2 linked regions of the Danio rerio genome follow. The protein of the gene in region 1 purifies or fractionates together with the protein of each later gene. This does not show direct contact. Links are inferred from orthologs where the notes say so. Each region holds a gene or a part of one and is shown in the gene's direction. Other genes may lie near its edges. The genes, in order: ndufs2 and phb.

What was found.
Region 2: the proteins of ndufs2 (region 1) and phb purify together in Homo sapiens (affinity purification with mass spectrometry; 3 studies listed by BioGRID and IntAct, with this or other methods). This does not show direct contact. The link is inferred for Danio rerio from reciprocal best matches to the Homo sapiens genes NDUFS2 and PHB1.

Annotation. Positions count from the first base shown.
Region 1 is NC_133182.1:19,053,288-19,064,766, reverse strand, and holds the start of ndufs2 (NADH dehydrogenase [ubiquinone] iron-sulfur protein 2, mitochondrial), read left to right. Parts: upstream 1-4,144; 5' UTR 4,145-4,214; coding exon 4,215-4,315; intron 4,316-6,469; coding exon 6,470-6,573; intron 6,574-6,658; coding exon 6,659-6,849; intron 6,850-11,422; coding exon 11,423-11,479. UniProt on the Homo sapiens protein: Core subunit of the mitochondrial membrane respiratory chain NADH dehydrogenase (Complex I) which catalyzes electron transfer from NADH through the respiratory chain, using ubiquinone as an electron acceptor. Essential for the catalytic activity of complex I.
Region 2 is NC_133178.1:14,398,105-14,409,700, forward strand, and holds the start of phb (prohibitin 1), read left to right. Parts: upstream 1-4,225; 5' UTR 4,226-4,251; intron 4,252-4,723; 5' UTR 4,724-4,741; coding exon 4,742-4,826; intron 4,827-8,378; coding exon 8,379-8,540; intron 8,541-9,201; coding exon 9,202-9,344; intron 9,345-11,596.

The DNA of each region.
Region 1 (11,479 bases):
TACCTCTGCATCAAGCGAACACGTATGGTTTGGTGCAGCCTTTGCGCGGTCGCATAGCGCAAGCTCTGTGATTGGTCAGCTTGGTAGCTGTGACCAGTGTGGGCGGGGCCGAGAGTTGCGTGAACCCGTTGGAGCGAGTGTTTACAAGTGTTTTGTCCTGTGAAGGAGATCCTAATGGAAACTGTTGTTGTTTTATTAAAGTTGTTGCTTGTCCACTGGCTCCCGCCTCTAAATGAGCACGTTTTAGCTACTTGTAGTGTTCATAAAAAGCAAAACCCCCATGAAAAAACTCGACAAAGACAAACATAAACACCTACTGCCAGCTAGCATTTTGTAAGTGCTATTGCAGAGTACCACAAACAGCACGCAGAAGTATAAACGCACAACTAGACGCAAGGCAGGCACCGTGGGTCACGACGATCACTTGACGCAGAAAAATATAAACCAGCCTTAAAGACCACAGTTTCAGCTGAAGGCTGATTTATACTTCTGCATCAAGTGATCATCGTGACCCACGGTGCCTGCCTTGTGCCTAGTCGCAGTTATACTTCTGCGTGCTGTTTGTGTTACTCTGCAAAAGCACTTACAAAATGCTAGCTGGCAGTAGGTGTTTATGTTCGTCTGTGTCGAGTTTCTTCACGGGGGTTTTGCTTTTCCTGAACGCTACAAGTAGCTAAAACGTGCTCATTTAGAGGCGGGAGCCAGTGGACATGCAACAACTTTAATCATTAGGTAAACATAAAACAACAGTTTCCATCTGGAGCTCCTTCACGGGACTTGCCACTTGTAAGCACTCGCTCCATCGGGTTCGCGGCTCTTAGCACCGCCCACACTCATCACAGCAACCAAACCGACCAATCATAGAGTTTGCGCTACACGTCAATACGACATGTAGTTCAACTTTTGAGAGGTGTGCATCAGCGTGAGCCACGGCGAGGGGTATCCGACCGCATTGAAGGCCATGTCCGAGCATACACGTGCGCTTCACGCAGAAATATAAATCAGCCTTAAAACTCTTCTTTAATATTCTACTAAAAAAAAAGGGCACCTACATCTTACTTGTCCTACAGGTGAGTAAATCAAAATGAGAATTTTAGATGAGCTATTTCTTTAAGGTCTGAAGTGGTTTTATAAACATCTCGAAAACACTATTACGGACTTTGATGTGTAGTTGGAGATCGGAGAGTCTTTCACTCACTTATTCACACAGACACACACCTGATATTTGTGCCAAACACAGACGACTAACTTGAAGTATTTTACACCAATTTTGAAAAAAAAAAAAAAAAAACTACCTTTCGGAGACCAGAAACGGTCTTTGGCTTTGAGACAAAAGCAAACAAACTGTCTTCAACGGGGTTTGAAGGATGGCGTTATCAAAGCAATGAGAAACCTGAGGATGAAGACAATCCCTCGGAACAGCGAGACACTCGTTTTGGTCTTCGTCCACATTTCCAACGAGCCCTGTAAATACTTTCCCATGTGTAATTCCGACTTCAAGTATTATTTTACAACATCCAATGTGATGCACTCTTTAAATGCAGTATTGTTCTGTTTTTCAATTGCGTGAAGAAAGTAAGCGATGGTACAGTACTTACGAAGAGTACGAGCTGGTACGATGCTATTAAAAGCGTTCGGGAAAACACCTTGATGACCTACTTGAGCTGCCAATCACTCATCCTTTATCTCGATGGCGGGGGACCATTTTGTTGGACAGTATTTGCATTCCCCTTTTGCCGTCTACGAACTTGAAGCTCCACAAAGTCAAGAAGAAGGAACATATGAAGGAGTGAACAAACTAAAGAGTGGCCTTAGGAAAACATGACTTTTATATTCCCTCACTTTATAAAGCGGCTTAAGGCCAGAGGAGTGTGTGTAGACAACGGTATGCTTGTGTTTTTGTGCGTGCGACTGAGCGTGAGTGTGAGGATATGAAAATCTTTATGTAATCCGTTCATTTACTTCTCTCACGTTCCTGCTCCAATACTTTTTCTTCTGCTGGTAGGAGTGTATCCTGTATAATTGTGTCTTAGAAGATAAACGTTGACCTTACTGTACTGTTTCTTGGTAGCTGAAAAAACAATGTTTGACAGATGTACAACAAAAAAGTTATTGACTTTTTTTTTATTTCTCATTGATTTTTTTCCAATATTTTTTAAAAATGTTACGTAATTATTTTTTCACAGTATATCAGAAATAAAAGCACTGTTTTTCTAAGAATCAGTGACGTATTGAATGTGTGACTGATACTTTGCATGTACACTACCTGATAAAAGTTTTAAAAGTCGAGTATTCAAGCAAATAATAACTTGACTTCTAGTTGATCATTTGGTATCAGAAGTGGCTTAATTGAAAGGCAAAGGCCTCTAGATTACGCTTATTTTATCAAAATAAAATATAATCATGCCTTGATTTTTAATTCTTTAATTAGGACGGTAAGGTCTGACTTTGCTTAGACAAAAAAAAATAATGTACAGTATAGAATATAACATCATGGTGCAGTGGATAAAGAATGAATATTGTGTATGACTCCCATGAGCTTGGAGGACTGCATCCATACATCTCTGCAATGACTCAAATAACTTATTAATAAAGTCATCTGGAATGACAAAGGAAGCGTTCTTGCAGGACTCACAGAGTTCACCAAGATTCTGTGGATTCATCTTCAATGCCTCCATCTTACCCCAGACATGCTCAATAATGTTCATGTCTGGTGACTGGGCAGGCCAATCCTGGAGCACCTTGACTTTCTTTGCTTTCAGGAACTTTGACGTGAAAGCTGAAGTATGAGAAGGAGCGCTATCCTGCTGAAGAATTAGCCCTCTCCTGTGGTTTGTAATGTAATGGGCAGCTCAAATGTCTTGATAGCTCAGGCTGATGATGTTGCCATCCACTCTGCAGATCTCTCGCATGCCCCCATACTGAATGTGTTAGTTTTCTGTTTCCCAAACCGTGATTTTTCCTTCACCAAACTGGACTGATTTCTGTGAGTATCTTGGGTCCATGATTGTAGTTAGTTAGTTAGTTAGTTAGTTAGTTATTTAGTTAGTTAGCTAGCTAGTTAGTTAGTTTGCTTGTTAGATAGTTTAAAAAATCTGAAAAACCGAAATTGGTGTTTGTGAGGCCAGCAGGAGGTGCTCAACCTGCGGTCTGTCTGGGTCCTAAAACCCCAGTATATTGATGGAGACTCTTTGCTGCTCAGTGAGCACTGTTTTTCGGATGAGACATTAAACCTGGAAGACGTGGAAATCTGTTAAAAATCCCAGGATGTCCTTCGATAAAAAGTAGGGGTTTAACCCCAGCATCCTGGCCAAATTTCCCCACTGGCCTGTGTCTATCATGGCCTCCTAATCATCCCCATACTATAATTGGCTTCATCACTCTGTCTCCTCTCCACCAATCAGCTGGTGCGGTCTGGCGCAACATTGCTGATGTCGCATCATCCAGGTGGATGCTGCACACTGGAGGTGGATGAGGAGATTCCCCCATTGTGTAAAGTGCTTTGAGTGTCCAGAAAAGCGCTATAAAAATGTAAGGAATTGTTAATTATTATTATTATTATTATTATTATTATTATTACACCGCACGTCTTTGGGCTGTAGGGGTAAACCGGAGCACCCGGAGGAAACACATACAAACACGGGGAAAACATGCAAACTCCACACAGAAATGCCAACCCCCCAGCCGGGACTCATACCAGCGACCTCCTTGCTGTGAGGTGACAGTGCTAACCACTGGGCTTCTGTACAGCCCACACAGATATTATATAATATGAATATAAAATGTATATACCTTTGGTTGAATGATGAAAAATTCCCATCAGTAAAGTACAGGGTGCTGCTCAAACATACCTTTAGTGATGACATTTTGGATGTATAAAGTCTAGGATCCAGAAGAAACCCCATCACTCTTAGTCTCCAGCAATAATAATAAAAAATATTAATGTGATTGAGCTAGCTCCATGTTTTGTCAAATTATTTGATTTTTTAGAAATATTCGCCAATGTGAAGTTTAAAAATTCGCTTCATCAACTGCACCAGGCATTCCTAACTTAAAAACAAACTCGAGAGTCGACTGACATCTAGTGGCTCTTGGATGAGTCTTGGATTGGAAGCTGCGGTGTAAACCTCCTGCCGGCGGGTGACGCCAGAGCCCCAGTGAAAGAGCGGCCGTGAAGCTCTCAGCACAGAAGCAGAGCGCTGACAGAAGGGAAGATGGCGGCTACAATGCTGAGGTCGCTCTCTAGACTCGGACGTCCTTCAGTTTTATTAAACAGTAATGTCAGCTCTCCAGCCTGTGCTCTGATTCAGACGAGGTACGAACAGCACGGTCAATAACACACTGCAATTTTACCATTGGTTTGGTGAAGCAGCGGCTTGCTTGTGGTGATGTTGTTGTTATGGTTTAGCCACCGGTATTTCTGCGACTTAGATTGTTTTGAAAAGCATGCTAATGTGCAATATTGCAAACTTGACCTGTTTACATACGTATTATTCTATTATTATTAAACGTCGTTTTCCCTTTTGCCATTCTTGCGTTCAGCTGTGGGAAAAAACAAGCTTGAAGCTAACGTTAGCCGTTATGAAACATGAGCAGTTACAAAATAATCACATTTGATATCTCTGATAAATCATGACTCTGAGGTTTTCTTAATGGCACAATTGTTTTTTTTTATGTTTTGCAATTTGCAATCTTCACCAATATTTGTAGGTAAAATGACCCACAAAAATAGCGACACAAAAGTCTTAGTTGAAGTTTTCAAAGCAAGAGGGTTTTATTGATTTCATTATGGATATAAAGTGTATATCTTCTTATTAAGGTACATTTGGTTTTATATTCACATATACAATAATATTCAATACTATAACTTCAAAAAACTATTGTCAAGTCTAAATAGAGAAATCATATTAGCAGTCCATAACTATCAAAGGACAACAGTGTTTACAGTCTATTAAATAGTGCTAATGTTGTATCAAAGTCATACTTGCATATGATTTCAGACTGTTTATTCAAAAGTACTGAGGTAAACAATATAGAGTCCGAATGTGTGATTAAAAAAAACAACTTTACCTCAATTATATTCTCGATTCTCATATCGTTTCAAAATACATATATTTTTAATAATTTTGCTTCCCAAGTAGATTCAAATGTTTTAAGTCATTCATCATGGAAATCAAAGGAACGTTTCTTTTTTAGAATATAATTTAGAAGTAATTTATATAGATTTAGAACATTCTTTTTTCCCCCATTGTAATTAGAATGTATGGCAATGATGAAATAAAATAAATTAGTAATGGAGGTCAGTATGAACTAAGTTGTATATACAGATCATTGTCTGCTCAAAAAAAATGGACATTTAGAGATGGTATTGATGTATTGTGCTCCCTAAAAGTGTTTTTATTATTTAATTTTAATGACCTTTTTTTGTTTGTTGGATTTAAAAAATACATTAAAAGTTTTTAGTTTACTTTAATGAAAAAATGTAAATGTGAAAATGTAAAACAAAAACACTTGATTTAAGAATTGTTCATCCAATGCAAATGCACTTATATTTGTACAGTTGTAAGACAGCACAAGCACTATTTTCCAACAAGTAATATAGAAGTATTTGGACACGTTTTTTAAAGAAGATGCTTAAAATTAATTTTAATCTATCTATTTTTATTTGTTTTTTTTCTTCCTAAGTTTTACCAAAACATTTTGTACAATCAAGGTTGTATTTTTTTTCCATGATAACCCTTGTCGACGAAATAAATTAACAAACAAGTTAAATTCAAATAAAAATAAAATTAAAACACAGAGAAAAGAAAAAAAACCTTTGCAGTATTGTTTACATTTGCAGTTAGATAGACAATATCAATTGTAAAAATAATTCAGATAAATTAATACCTACATGATAATACAAATAAACAATATGACGTTTATGGTGGTCTTCTACATGCGGTTGGAGTCAAATAATATTTGTGATCACATTTAAACCTGTTTAATACAAATTTCTTTATATAGATCAGTTAAAGGAGAGAGTCTTCTTTTTTTTTCAAAGTATGTGATCATAGGTTGCCATATCTCATAAAATTCCCTTCATTAGTTATTTAATTTTCTCTCATTTTAAATATAAAAACAGATCACACATTCACATTGAAGCATTAGTTGGGTTTTTTAGATTTCCACTCAAGTAATATTCTTTTCCTTGCTAATAAAGTAGCAAAGGCAATAAAAACTGCACTATTTTAATGTTATTAGACATTGATTTTTATCTGCTTAGACTTTAAATGAAATATTTTTAAATTTCCAAATGTTTACAATTCATCAAGAGTAAACAATCTGTTTTAGATTTTAATCTTATATATTATTATTAATGTATTTTATCTTGTGTATTGTTTATTGCTGTTGATGACTTAGTATTGTTAAAATATTTTAATAATTGTAGAAAAGTGAATAAACTTAAAACAACTCTCTTTCAATTCAGGCAGAAGCAATGGCAGCCAGATGTGGAGTGGGTGGAGCAGTTCTCTGGAGTGGTGATGTATCCCTCTCCCTCCGTTGCCAAATGGACACCTCCACCTTGGAATGGTTGGTTTGATTTTAGCCTTGTAAATTCCATATTAAATAAGCATTCTGGAGAGAAAAGAACATCAAAGTTATTTTTTCATTTCAGATAAGGATCCACCAGCACAGAAGGATTTGTCCAACCTCACCATCAACTTCGGGCCTCAGCACCCTGCAGCTCATGGAGTGCTGCGCTTGGTGATGGAGCTCAGCGGAGAGTCTGTGAAGAAATGCGACCCTCACATCGGCCTCCTGCACCGCGGCACGGAGAAATTGATAGAGTACAAGACTTACTTACAGGTACAAAATAATAGAGCATATCTCATGTGATGCAACTTTTTTGTTTGCTAGTTTTTATTGTATTTTTTTATACTTGCATTATTATTATTATTATTTTGTTGTTATTATTAAATAAAACAAAAGTTTACTACAGCATTGTTTCTCAAAAAGCCATGTTGCTGGAGGACCACCAACACTGCATGTTTTAGATGTCACCTTTATTTGTCACACCCATTTCAGGTCTTTTAGGGCGTACTCACACCATGTACAGTTGCCTTAAACCGGGCCAAAGCACGCTTGTCCCCTCTCCTGTCTCCCCCGATGGCCCGCACTCATATTGCATTTGGGCATGAGCACGCTTACTTCATCAATGATGCGCTGTTCAGTTTAACAGAAGAGAAGCGCTGTCGCTCGGCACAGTGGAGATTTCTTTAGTTATATCATTTTAGTCGTTTGGGATGCAGTGACACACAGTTAGATATTTTGCCGAACAGATCCGCCACTTTTGACGCTCATAAATAATCATAAAGTCCTTGTGCTGCAGGAATTAGGAGGTTTGCTAAAGGTGCAGCTGTCGTGCAGTGGGGGGTTTGTGTCTTTAATAATCTATGGCAGTTTGTGTTCATTGAAAAGTAAGAATGATTAATAAATCGATATGAAACAGTCCATTAAAGTCACGTCTTGTCTTCAATTTCAGGCTCAGGCTCAATTTGCTCTTAGGCCCCGTTTACACTAGTACGTTTTAGTTTTGAAACGGCGTTTTAGAATGAAAACTATCCGCGTCCACACTCGCGTTTTACCCAGCGTTTCTGAACTGCTCTCCGTCCACACCAAAACGCTGAAAACGCACATCACGTGACCACACAGACGCTCTCGGGCAAGCGCTGCAGCCCATCTACCCAGATGAGAGCTCTGCTAGTCGGACTTCTCATCAAGCATCTCCCGCTGGATCTAATCTCACTATATTTATTAAACGGGATATTTCATTCATCTTGTTGTCTTTAGCTAACGACATATTCCCTGACTTTGGGCATTGGAATCTATTACTTGTTCTCAGGTAACGTGTTTTGGCAGAGCGCAAAGATAAGTTAATGATTAATGTAACCACGTACATTCTGTATATTGACTTATCGCTTGCCTTTATTTCCTATAATGTATAAACTTATTGTATGTTATACTTTTAAAATGGCCATTATCGATTCTTAAAACTGATACTCAGCAAAAGAGAGGGGATGTTTCGTATTTTCACTGAAATTGAAAGGAGGCAGTTGTTATCGGCTCCGTTTTGTTATAAATATCCAGACAGTGAAGATGACGCTCATCTTATACAGCACGGCGCCTCAACATGTCTGCTGTCTAAGTTGCTAATATTAAAATGAAAATAGGCAGTTCCTTAAATCATGTTTACATTTTATTGTTGAGAAAGTGAAACAACGAAGCCAGGGTGATGTGAATGAAGTTATAAAGTACACTGTTCCCTTTGAAGATTTACCCGTGTCCTCGGTATAGTCTGCTTTTCCATATCAAACTGAGAAGAAGAGACTGCAGCCTTGATCAAACTTGCGAAGTCTGAACTTACACGGAGAAGATTCAGGACTGAACTGTGTGTTAGGCTACTTAATATTCAGGAAAAGCCCCAATCAGAGAGGCGAACGTCTGCAGCCCCGCCTCCGTTTTCAGATGTCTCCGTTTTCCATCATCCACACTGAGACGGAGCAGCAGCGTTTCAAAATGAAAACGGCCTCTCCAGCGTTTTCGAAACGCTCCGTTTTCGGCGCTCGAGAACTCCGGCGTAGTGTGGACGGTTGGCGTAACCGTAGCAAAACTTATGCGTTTTCAAACTAAAACGCATTAGTGTAAACGGGGCCTTACACTTCAAGCATACCACGCCATAGCTCAAGTGAACCGCACTTTTGCACACCTCTTCTAACTGGGCAAGGGCCAGCCAACTGAATCATGCCTGAGCCCGATTCAGAGCACTCTCACTTCTCAAACGAACTGGGAAACTGGCCTGGGCATGGTTCGGATAGCATAGTGTGAGTACACCCTCAGTCTCTACTAATGAGCTGATGATCTGAATCAGGTGTGTTTGGTTAAGGACACATGGCTGTTTCTTAATATGCGTTCTTCAGCGATCTTGCATCCTCGTAGTCTCGTGTAACATCATCATCAACAGCCAAAGTTAAGTTCCAAAGCTCAAGACCGCAAGTATGGAGGACGCGTGAAAGCTCCCAGATATGTTCTTGATAGAGGACACATCGATGCAGACTTGAGCACTGAGTTCAATAGAGAATTCCCAAAAATCATTGCGATGGGTTAAAGGAAGTGGGAAGTGCAGCATTTTATTTAGATTTATTAATCAAGTTCAGATATATATAACTTATTTATGTCAGTAATTTCCCTAAATGAGAAGGTGAAAGTAAACATGAACATGATAGTAGAGGCTTAAACACAATAAGGTTGTTTATTTGCTGAAATTGGTATTAAAATCTGTTTTATTTGTATTGTGCAACGTATATTTGTAAGGTTTTTGTGCATGTTATACATAAATTTGAAAAGGGAAAAAAACATAAACGCATTGTATGAATGCTGTAATGTTTGAATAGTTCTTCGTTATAAATGCATGAAGGTCAACAGCTTCTCTCACAGGATGCCTTCTGTGTCCTCGTGGTCTCCTGAGTTCGTTCATCCAAGGTGACCTTGCAAGACTGATCTGCATAAGAACATGAGTCCGTTCTCTGTTCTTGTAGTTGAGAGAGAGTCATGGTAAATGTGCAGAGCTGGTGGTTCTCCAGGAATGTGGCTGAGAAACACTGTACTACAGTGTCCCATGGGTCAAGGAATTTATGGAATATCATGGGATTTAAAAGGTTTATTCCAGACATTTAAAGTCAGGGAATTTTTTTATTTGTTTGCCAAAGTCCAATTTTGTTTGTGACTTTAAATTTTAGTTTGCATTTATCAATGTATATATATATTAGGGATTCTCGTTATGGTTCATTTTCCCAACTGACAACTGCTACTCTGTATCCAAACAATTAATATAAAGTTATAAAGAAATAAATTTATTCAGATTAATATTTAGTTACCATTTAATAATGAAAAAAACATAGAGATGACTTGTCTATTTTGTGTCTGACACATTAAATATTGCATTTTTAATATATTGATTTATTATAACATGCAAACAACGGTATACAGAACATACTGGGCCATTAATGAATAAATAGTCAATATGAGCATCCCTAATATATCATTTCTTTTCCATTGTTTCACACCTATTGTTATGGTTCTGCTATTTATCAGCATCCATTTCTTTATTTCATGCTCATCCACTTAAGTCAAATGCAGTTAACCAAACTGTACCTATTAACCAAGGCTAACAATTCAGCACTATACATTTTTAAATACATTTGGCTTCAAAATGACCACTACAAAAACTGGTTATTAAAAAAAATTAGCTGATAGAAAAGCTAAATATAATGTAAATATGACTAACAATATATACAGTCAAGCTTGAAATAATTCATACACCTGCAAATTCTGGCTTAAAGTAACTTTTATTTAACCAGCAAGTTTTTCTTTTTTTGTGACCAGAAATGACCCCGGCTTCTCCCTAAAGATAATAAGACGATGTACAAGAGGCATCATTTTGGGGGAAAAATTATTTCTCAGCTTTTATTTACATTTGAACAAAAACTTTAAGTCAGAGTTTGCCAAGTGTGTAAATAATTTCAGACTTGACTGTATAAAAGCTAAATATCACTACTATTGAGCTATCATATCTGCAAGAAGGGAGCACTTCACAACCACACAAACCACAAGTATTGAAATTTGTTTCCAAAATCTTAGGTCAGTTATCCACTGTTGTTCTCATAGTGGCTATTGAAGTCATGCAAAAATATATTCAAGCTAAAAGTTATTGTTTTTCATTTTGACATATTTTTGAAATGTTATATTGATATATACACACACAACAGTAAAGACAGACTGTGTTTACGTTCATTAAATGTCATGGAATTGCATGCAGTGCACAATTGTACACAATAACAGTTAAAATGTGTAGAGTATGCATGCATGTATGTGAATGTATGCACAGATGAAAGGAAGAGATCTAAATATTTTTAAACTGCAGCATTTCTTCAGCTAGGCTATATGTGTTTTTTTTTTTAAATAGTGCTTGCTTCGTAGAATGGTTCCCCAGTAGTGCAAAAATATTGGGTTTAATTTCAGTTCCTTTATCTTAAATTGTAGAGCGTTGCAGACTTCTGATAAAAGACATTGATAAAATCTATACTCTATTGCTGTGTAAGTCACTTGGAATAAACTGTGTGCCAAATTCAGGCTAAACATAACTTTCTGAAAAGTTTGTATTACAAACAAGGCATTAATAAGCTGTCAGAACTGAGCTGTTATATGATGCTTTATGCTGTTTTCTGCTTTATGTAATGTTGTCTTCCAAAAAAAGTGGATTTTTTTTTAAAGAAATAAGACTTTGATCATTTTTTTGTTGTTGGATATCTGGCTATATTAGATTAATTGAAAACGAACTGGCAGATAAAAAAGGTTGTCTTGCATCTTTGTATTGTTGCAGGCTCTTCCATACTTCGACAGGCTCGACTATGTGTCCATGATGTGTAATGAGCAAGCA
Region 2 (11,596 bases), on another chromosome or scaffold:
GTTATCTAATGGCTCATTAAAGAAGGGTAATCTCATGATAAATATTTTAGACTCTTTATGCATTATAATGGACATCACTGCTTTATTTTTATGAAAAAAAAATATATAGACTACCGCTCAAAAGTTTGGGGTTATTATTCTGTTCATCAATTCTTATTATTAAAATTATTCTGTTCGTCAAGGTGGCATTTATTAAATGTAAAAAATTGTTTAAAATTAATGACAATTTTAAATAACAATATAATTTTAAATAATATAGTTATTACTCCAGTCATTATTGATTTTATTACTATTAGCATTAATAATAATAATAATAATTATTATTATTTTTATTTTTTATTTTTTTTATTAGAGTGATTTTTACTTTCAGTCTCTGAAGACTGCAGAAATGAAGCTGAAAATTCATCTTAAAAATAACTTTAAACTAAATTATAAACTACTTTTGAACAGTAATTTTACAGTGCAATAACATTCACAATTTTACAATTTGAACTGTATTTTGATTAAATAAATGCAGCCTTGGTGGGCAGGATAAGCTTATTTTAAAACATTTAAAAATCCTGCTGACCCCAAACTTTTGACCCGTAGTGTATCTTATTATTCATGTCAATTGGCGGAGCCCTAATCTTTTTGCATTAGATATAACAAGATCAATCTACCACTTAACTAATTTAGGAAAATCTATTCTATTGAAATTTAGAAAGAAATATATATATATATATATATATATATATATATATATATATATATATATATGACGGTTCATTCCACTGTGGCGACCCCTGATTAATAAAGGTACGAAGCCGAAAAGAAAATGAATGAATGAATGAATGAATGAATATATATCAGGGTTTCTGCAGGTTTCTTTAAGTCAAATTAAAGACTTAAGGAACTTTTAGACCATTATGAATGTAATTTTTGACTTATACAGGGCTAAACACTAAGGATTTGGCCCAGTTACTTCAGTAAATAGTTTTTATATTAATGGAAGATTATGTTAAGGGATATGTTGCTTTAGTACTCTTTCCCTGCTTAAGGAATTCAATTAGGAGAATTTGCTGTAAACATGTCTAACAGCTGTTGTGACTTGTATATCTTAAATAAAAACAAGTATAGCTTTAAGATGGATTGTCAGTGATTGATTCGCTGTACTTGGACATACAGTAGGAAAATTAAGACATGATTAACATAATTTAAGACCTACAACACAATATTAAGGTCAATGTAAGACTTTTTAAGGCCTAAAGTTAGTTTTTGAGAGTTAAGACATTTTAAGACCTTGTGGACACCCTGATATATATATATATATATATATATATATATATATATATATATATATATATATATATATATATATATACAGAATAAATTAGTTAATTAATTTATTTAAAAGTCTACTGTATACCACTGAGACATTTTAATGGCATTTACCAAATGCATTTACCATCTTAAGACAGTATCTGACAAAAATGACCAAATAAACATAACAACAATGTGTTTAATTAACTATTAACTATGGCTACATTTGGGAAAAGCATCAACGTATCTTCATTTCTGTAAGACCTGGTATATTTAGTGTATGGTATGTAAAGCTGCATGTTAGAAGTTCAATCTCTCAGCAACACCCATAAAAACAAACATCAATCAATTGATTAAATCTTCCGTGCGCTGTGACGTCAGTGGCCAGGTGAACCAATCGTAAAACACGATAGTGAACGGCGATGAACGCGGAAATCCAAGAATTGCCTTTTCACGATCTGTTGTAAATACAGGAACACCACGATACAGCCTAAATAAATAACAGCCTGAGGTAACCGGGGCAGAACAGTAAAGCGCTTCAATTACTGAGGAGCTGTTTATTTGATTTGATTGTGATGAAGATCACAATCATGCTGTACGACATTTTATTCGGAGAATGAATCCTGAACTAATGTCATTTAGTAATTCGTTTGTTTACTTTTGCTATAAAGTTTCATTCGCGCATCATCATCATCATCATCATCATCATGACTCATTCGCAGACATTCACAGCTAGCTAACTATAGTTGTCCTAAAATAGCTCAAAGTTATAACGTGATCCGACAAATGCCAAATAAACAAATAATCGAGACTTACCGATTCAGAAGAATGCGTCCTTAAAACTGCGGGCTTGTGTCCGTCAGTTTACAGACAGCTGCACTGCATAAAGCCTGCGCACTGCGTTATAATAACTCGCTTCTGGTGGGTGTGTCGTCCTGGAAAAGAGGAGGAGGGTGTAGATGTCTGGTTGAAGAAGGACTTTCCGTAATCACTGCATCACATGCCTTACTGTAGTAGGGGGTGTACAGTCATATTCTGGATAATAGCATGTCTACATGTTGCCTTGTTTTGAAGTAGCATTATAATTTAAAGGGGTCGTTCACCATGTTCAGATAGGCTACTTGGTTCACCTACATACCATGTTCAACTTGTATACACTGTATTACAGTGGCTTTTACCACAATTAGAAGTAACTTGATGGCTTTGATGCATTACAATCAAAATCAGAAAAGTTTATTAAGTGCGCTAACTTTATTAGTTACTAATAACTTTAACTTTTAGAGATATTACTTAATTAAAGTTATTATATATAAAGATAGTTAATCTGCGGTTAATTAGCACAGGCCTACACTACCTCACAAAAGTCTTGTCATTGATCCCAGTTGTAAAAGCAACAAATAATTTATTTAGTTGACTTTTAGTAGATCATTTGGAAAAGTGTCAGAAGGTAGTTTTTCAGATGAATCATCTGTTGAGCTGCATCCCAATCATCACAAACACTGCAGAAGACCTACTGGAACCCACAAAGACCCACGATTCTCACAGAAATCAGTCAAGTTTGGTTAAGAAAAAATCATGGTTTGGTTACATTCAGTGTGGAGGCATGCAAGAGATGGATGGCAACATCAACAACCTGAGGTATCAAGACATTTGTGCTGCTCGTTACATTACCAACCACAGGAGAAGGCAAATTGTTCAACAGGATAGCGCTCCTTCTCATACTTCAGCCTCCACATCAAAGATCCTGAAAGCAAAGAAGGTCAAGGTGCTCCTGGAATGGCCAGCCCAGCCACCAGAGATGAACATTATTGAGCATGTCTGGGGTAATATGGAGGAGGAGGCATTGAAGATGAATCCAAAGAGTCTTGATATGCTTGATGATCTTGGGGTATTAGTGCTATATAAATAAACGTCCTTTTCTGTTTTCATACAGCATGTGGTACACTAGTAGTAAAGCCTCTGTACAGGAATTGCAGTAGAAAAATGTAGCAATTTTATACCACTCTCACTTTCAACAGCAATGAAATAAAAATAATAATAAAAGCTCACTGCACGGTGGCGCAGTGGGTAGCACATTTGCCTCACAGCAAGAAGGTTGCTGGTTCGAGCCTTGGCTGGGTCAGTTGGCGTTTCTGTGTGGAGTTTGCATGTTCTCCCCGTGTTGTTGTGGGTTTCTCCTTGGTGGTCCAGTTTCTCCCAAAAACATGTGGTATAGGTGAATGAGTATGTATGGGTGTTTCCCAGTGATGGATTGCAGCTGGAAGGGCATCCACTGTGTAAAACATATGCTGGATAAGTTGGCGGTTCATTCTGTTGTGGCAACCCTTAAAGGGACTAAGCTAAAGAAAATAAATGAATGTGTTTCGTTCTTTGAACACAAAATAAGTTATTTTGAAAAATGTTGGAAACTGGTAACCATTGACTTCCATACTATTGGTTTTTCCTATGGAAGTCAATGGTTACAGGTGTTAAACGATGTTGAAAACATATTTTCAGTATTTGAACGTGGTTGGACTATAGCTTTAAGCAGTCGAAAGAACGCCCACATGACAAGTTTGTAGCAATATTTGTTTACAATACGCAATATGAATTACATTGTCAATAAAAAAATATAAGAGAGAGAAAGACAGAAGAAAAAATGAATAAAGAACATGATATAAACTTGAGCATAAGACATTTAAGTATCAATAACAGTACATAAATTAAAGTCATTACAAAATGAAATAAGGAACGCCCACATATTGCATTGCAGTGAACCCACCTCGTTCTAAAGCAACGTGAGATGTACGCCAATAATAATCCTCCTTACTCAAGAGGGCGTTCGGTTTGTGTCTCTCTATCCAATCGGAGAAACTCATGTTGACACTGTTCTGCGCATGCGCAAGCTCCACCTGCTCATGTGTTTCTTGCGCAGGCTCCGGTGGAGGTCACTGTGATCATTCAGCGCAGCGGGTAAGTGCTCACGTTTTAGGAGACTTACATTTAAATGCGAACTTAAAGCTTTTGTTTTACTCACAAAGCATCGGTAATTATAACGCGACAGTATGAAAGTGAAATAAACACGACGTGTGGGTGTTTGTTGGCGTTATTGCATGACAGTTGCATCATTAGCGTGTAGCAGGCTAATAAATGAGTGAAGTTCACTACTGCGGATTGTATTAATGCCTGTTAATCTGTGTCACATGTGTTATTGTAATAGCAATTGTTTTTAAGTGGTGTATATATGTGTATATTGTGCAGTTTTACTTGTGATTTTTCCAGTGACCGGTTAGAGTGAGATCAGATTAGCACGTTACATTGATGTCAGTGTCACTGTCAGAGTCAAGGCTAAACCGGCTAGCATTGGTTTGATTACCCAAGGGCTCTATATGCACAAGAGATCACCCATGATGAGATACTGAAGATGAATGTGTTTTCCCCGCAGGACTGTCACTTTGTTGTCATGGCGAAGCTCTTTGAGTCCATTGGGAAGCTGGGATTGGCCTTGGCCATTGGAGGAGGTGTTGTTAACTCTGCTCTGTACAATGGTGAGTTGTAATAACTACTGATGTGTTTTGTAAAACAATGGCAGCAATGGTTAAAGCATTTAATTCCTATAAGTATTCTAATAAGGTCAATTTAAAGGGCTTACACGCAACAAATTAAATTTGTTGTTAATTTTATCCACATTGAGGCTGTCGATAGGTCATAGGAATGCACAATATTGCAACTTTATATTGCTATATTTAGAGTTCCCATGGGTCTTGGAATTTTTGTGAATATCATGAGTTTTAAAGGGGGTCATTTGTGCATATATCAGTTTTCTAAGTGGTTTAAATGCAGTTGTGTGGCAACCGTGTGTGAATATAACCAGCTTGTAATGGTAAAACAATAGTTTTATTATAGTTATTTATTATATTATATTATTATCCAATAGTTTTATTAATAGTATTATAATCAGACTTGATAAACAGTCTGCATGAACACCTTGATTGACATTGTACCTGTCATCAGAGGGGGAAAGCCCGTCCATTAGTGACGATCTCTGCCTCATTAGCATAAACAGCCCTGAGTGAGAAGCAGCCATTCGCCATTAAGTCGCCCTTCCACTGCACACGACAAGCGAAAGACTGGAAGACGTTGAATTTCCAATGGAGAGTAGTCCGGGAGCTGCGTAGAGTTCAGATTCTCTCCGTATGTGGAAAATTTGGATCCGATATGAGCTGCAGAGCTGCTGTTGGAAATATTTGAACTCCTGCGACTACACCGTATACGACCGACCGCATGTGATGTAGTTCAGTGTTGTCCAGGCAGGTCTGTGCGTGCGAGATGAGAAATAGGATTTTTTTTTTTCTTAAATCAGAAAAAAGTCTATATTAAAAAATGTTTTGTTCATAAATGAGTCATAAAAATACTTTTTTTTGTTTGTTTCCACATTCCCGCCAACATTTTTAGCGGTCTGAGTTTCTAGTGTTGATTCATTCATTCAACCATGGTGGACACCCAGAGAGTAAAGGCTCTTGCTTTTGCACTCTTTTATTACTGACGCTGTGAGAACATCTTCTCTCCCATGGTGCACGACAAAACTGAAAGTTCTGTGCGACTGCCACAAGGGGGAGTATTCCGACAGTCGTGTTCAAATGTGATGTGCAGTGGAAAGGCGGCTTTAGAGTGTTCACCTGCTGAAGATAATGACACTGACTATAAGGCACTATTAATGTGAAGTTTTAGATGCGCAAATGAACACTGTAGTCTCCATAGACTGCCTTCTTTTGAGACGTTTCTTTCACATTTTCAGTTTTCACAGAGATCTCCTTAAGTACTGTTAATGAATCTGCCACTATGCTGACGCATTGACATTTATAGCTCCACCTGCCTTTGCACAGAGCAAAAGCTAGTTTACATTTCAAGCGGCAGTCACAAAGAAGCGGCGTAATTTGGACCAAAGCCTAAAAGGGGCAGTTTCAAAATGGTTATAAAGCAATATTTATTTTTCATCCTGCAAAAAAGGATCTTAATAGTTCATTTTTAAAATGTTTATTTCAGATATTTAAAGTCATGGAAATTTTTTTGTCCAAGTCGAGGAACATCTAGATTTTGCTTGTCAATTTTTATTTTACTTTTCATTCATCAAATTACATTTATCGAATTGCACTTTATGTAGCCCGTGTGTGTGTGTGTGTGTGTGTGTGTGTGTGTGTGTGTGTGTCTGTGTGTGTCTGTGTGTGTGTCTGTGTGTGTCTGTGTGTGTGTCTGTGTGTGTGTCTGTGTGTCTGTGTGTCTGTGTGTCTGTGTGTCTGTGTGTCTGTGTGTCTGTGTGTGTGTGTGTGTGTGTGTCTGTCTGTCTGTGTGTCTGTCTGTCTGTGTGTCTGTCTGTGTGTGTGTCTGTGTGTGTGTGTGTCTGTGTGTGTCTGTGTGTCTGTGTGTGTGACTGAGAACTCTAAATCATGCTGTTTTTTGTTTTTTTTTAGCAGGTGTGCTTGTGTGGCCGTTTTATTTTTATTTTTATTTTATTGTTCATTTCATAAAGCACAACATTTCTCTATGAGTTCTCTGCCCGCTGCTATGTTGTTTGTGTGTTTCTACAGTAAATGCACAGGGACTTCAAAATGAACTTTTGGTGCTTAACACCTTTTTATTGGTCTTTTTATTTTTCTGCTCTTTCAAAAATAAGGTCCAGGATTTAGATTAAAAGTTACTTGTAAATATTTTCTCTATTTAACAACAGTACAGTAGGTCAGTAGTGAAAGATGGCTTCACTTGCGTCAGATTTTGCTTGGTCTTAAAGCTTTCTTAGATGGGTTATTTCACAATTTATAATGGCATAGCAGACAAAATAGGACAAATGAGCTCATGTATGGGGAAAGAAATTCTGGAGCTTTGTCAGTGGGGTGAGTCATAGAGGAGCGTTGCATGTTTGAAACCTGACTTTCATTCAACTAAATCAGGGGTCAGCAACCCGCGGCTCTAGAGCCACATGCGGCTCTTTAGCGATGCCCTTGTGGCTCCCTTAAGTTTTTTCAAAAGTGTTCAAAAAGATGGGGAAGGTTAGTATATATTTTTGTTTTAATATGATTTCTATTGGAGGACAAACATTTTTAACGTTTTCAAATGCTGTAAAAGTGTGTAGAATTAATATTTAATTTCAACATTTCTGTCAACGAAGATTTGCGTCATAGCCTGCGACACAGGTTTCTATCAGCAGGGCAAGATGCCGGGCAGGTGGCTGTTGTAAACAAACCGGGAGATAATAAAGCATGGAAAACCGTTCACAGATGGTGACTACATAAAGGAGTCATTCATCAACATATTAGAACACCTATTTGCAGATTTCAAAAACAAAACCCAGATAATACAAAAAAATTAAAGATATACCGCTCTCTCCGCTAAGACAGTGAAGGAAAGGGCTATTAAAATGGCAGGTAACATCACCGATCAGCAAACCAAGGACATTAATTCAGTGCCCGCATACTCAATTGCCTGTGATGTGACCGATATTCAATGCGCTTTTATGCATGAACTCTGATGGGCCGCAAGAAGAAATGATCAAATTAATATCACTGAAAGACCAGAGGCTGTGCTGAAGTGTTTAAATGACAACGAAATAAACACCAACCACCTGATTTCAGTGGCTATTTAATCATGAAGGCTCATTATGTATTTGTAACCAACTTACTCATTTTTATAGTAAGCTAATATAGCTACTATAGATACAGCATGTGTTTCCTTCATTATAAGGCTTATATAAGGCTTTACATTTTTTGCGGCTCCAAACATATTTGTTTTTTGTTTTTTTTGGTCCAATATGGCTCTTTCAACATTTTGGGTTGCCGACCCCTGAACTAAATGGTTGTTAACAACACATTTGAGTTAACAGATAAAATTGACTTATTGTCCCGCTATTGTTGCGAGTTCCTGCTGCTTTCTTCAGTATATCCTCCTCAAACGGTCTTGCAACAGCTGTATTGTAGATAAATAAATGATGGTTGAATTTTTTTATTACGGGTAACTTACCTTTTATGTAACTGAAATGTGTTATTTATGGCCGAACTGCAAATGTGTGTAGTATCAGTTGTTCAGACCTGTGTTTCACATTGCAGTGGATGCGGGACACAGGGCCGTCATCTTTGACAGGTTTCGAGGTGTTCAGGATGTTGTTGTTGGGGAAGGCACACACTTCCTTATACCCTGGGTGCAGAAGCCAATCATCTTCGACTGCAGGTCTCGACCACGCAACGTACCCGTCATTACCGGTAGCAAAGGTGCGTCAAACTGCTCAGCTCTTCACTTCAATCCTCTTTTTCTGATTGCTCTTATGTTTGTCTATTGCTTTATCCTAAATCACCCCTTAAGCACTATTCCCTACATCTGTCCACTAATATAGTCCACTTGTTTGTGCTTTGCTGGTTGGTAAATCCCTCAGATGGATTAGTCTTTAAACTTCTTGTTCTGGCCCTGTGATAACACTTAGTTCTTTAACACTTAGCCTATTAGTAATGAGACAGAGTATTTTAATTTCTGTCAAGTATATAATCGTTATTTTAATTAAGTAATATTAGAATTTGAAACCTACATCCATTCCACTGTGGAGGCCATGTTGTGGTCAGACATGGAAATTCATTTGGCTCTCATGGTGCATTTTGGGTATTTTCTAGCTGTTGAGTGTACATGGGTTGTAGACTTGTTATTGTGGTGCATTGTGGGATTGATATGGTGCACTTCAGAACATTTTTCTATGGTTTTGGGCACCACTAGAAATGGCTGCTCCCTTAAACAGCGCACTATAAGGGTATATTTCAGATACAGCCAATATCTGTTTGTCAGTATGATGATTGTTATTTTTCAAATGTTTAGTCTGTTTTCATTAACCTTTACTAATCAAACATTGGAAACTGGCTTATGGTTTGTCGTTGTCTTTGACAGATTTGCAGAATGTGAACATCACACTGAGGATCCTGTTCAGACCGGTTGCAGGACAGCTGCCGCGCATTTTCACCAGTATCGGAGAGGACTATGATGAGAGAGTTCTGCCCTCCATCACCACTGAAGTGCTGAAGTCTGTAGTGGTGGGTACCGGCAACAGATTTTAAAAGAAAGGGGGGATTTTATTCATTAAAGATGTATAGAAATTAATCGAGAGTCAAAAGATTAATAATTTTAAAGAATAAAATGAATAAAAATAAAATCATCTTATAAAACCATATAAATAGATTTTCTGTTCATCAAAGAAGACTTTAATATCATATCACAGCTTCCACAAAATATTAAGGAGCGTAACTGTTGATGTGTGTTGACAATCAGCATATTTAAATGATCCCTGCAGGATTGCATGAGACAGAAGTGTGGAGTTATTTTTTATAAATTCAACTTCATCCATAAAATATATAAATTAATATATTAACTAATATGATTTAAAGTTTAATGTAATACATAGGAAAACATCACATATTTTACAATATTATTATTTTTTCTTTATTCTTGATCAAATAGATGCAGTTTTTTTCATACATTTTTCCATTTAGATCTGGCATAATGCGATTATTATTTTTTTTTAATTATTATTATTATTTTTATTATTATTAATTTTTATTTAAGACATGTTGTTTAACATGTTTTGTTTAAATGTTTACGCTTTTCATTTGTGTGTGTTTGTCATTTTTAACCCAGGGACTTTAGCTGTCAAAGTCTTTTATAATTATCAAATAAGTTATGTCACTTTGTAGACAAACTGTTGCATTACAGCATGATTTTTTTTTTACTTTTTTTTTTTGTTGTAATAAAAATGTTTAACTGCAGTAATACAAATTGTAAAAATGTCGTTCAGCAGTAGCGTTCAAAATTAAAAAATTTTTAATATCCACTATGAAATAAGACATTTCTAACCTGATTTTGTATGGTTTTAATTGACTATATGAAGTTATCACTGTTGTATAAAATAAAGTGGTTTCCGCTTTCTGCTTTAAAAACAAAAAAAAAAAGATTTTTTTTGTTTTATTTTAGTTTTCAAAAATTGAGCTGAAAATCATATCTAATTATTTTTTATATAAATTGTGATTTTTAATTATTTTTAACATTTATTTAATATCAACACTTTTTGAAGAATGAAGTTGTTATTGAAGTTATTGTTATGTAGTATGTATTTTATCTCTTGATTTTGCCATGAAATAGCCATAAGTTGCTGATGTGCCAATAAACAAACAAATCTTGCATTGTTTGACTTAACCCTTGTGTACTGTCTGTTTAAATTGACTACCCTTCCGTTATGTTGGTGGCTGTTTTTGCCCCATTGACTTCCCTTATAATGAAGTTTTGATTTTTGATTGACTATGTTAGACCACCATCTCCACACCAGATAAATACGATCCAGCCCCAGACACCAGATCTTGTCAACTAATGTTAGTTTCTCCATGTATATGGACAACAAGTCAACAGAAATTCCATTACCCAAACCTGTTAACCAGTATTTAACTGAATTAACAGTCTCCTATCCATATAGGAGTTGACTGATAAAACCAGAGAGGAGCAGAAGCAGGAGACGAAGTAATGATGATAAAGAAAGAGCAGAGTTTATTGAATAATCTTAGTTGTGTATGATTCAATGCTCAGACTCTGACCAGGATAAATCCAACAAGTGTTATTATACCACAAGCAACAGCAATGAAAAGTTACTGCTTTACAACATTGTCCAGAGACAATACAGACCTTGAAATAGAAAACTTCACTTACTCATGAAAACAAGTGTCGCTTAAATCCATACAGTCATAAGATTATAACAATATGAAAAAATGGAAATTATAATGATGCAATAGTTATAGGAAAATGGCAATAATAAAATATTAAAACATAATAAAATGACAAATAATAATCAATAATAATAATCAAATCATTAACTAATGATCAATAAAATTATATAATCATAATTATGAATGACTAATGATCATATGCTTTAAATAAAATAATTAAATGAAGAATAAATGAATGCATAAAAGCAAATTAAAATAAAACACAACACAAATGAATGGTTGTTTTCTTGAAACGACTCGCATAAGTTTGCTACAAGGATTCTTAGATCCTAAGTTAAATTCTTTAACTACAACTGATGATCAACAGTCAAAAGTTTAAAATTGTACCTTTTCCCAATAGGGAAAACCAGCAACAAGCAAAGATGCCTGATTATATGCTGTCATCATGGCTTTGCAATCAAATAATGTCATTATAATGAAAGTCAATGGGGCAAAAACAGCCACAAACATAATGAGAGGGTAGTCAATTTGCCCAGAGCGTATTTTTGAAAACTTTCAAAGCATTTTCTCAAAAT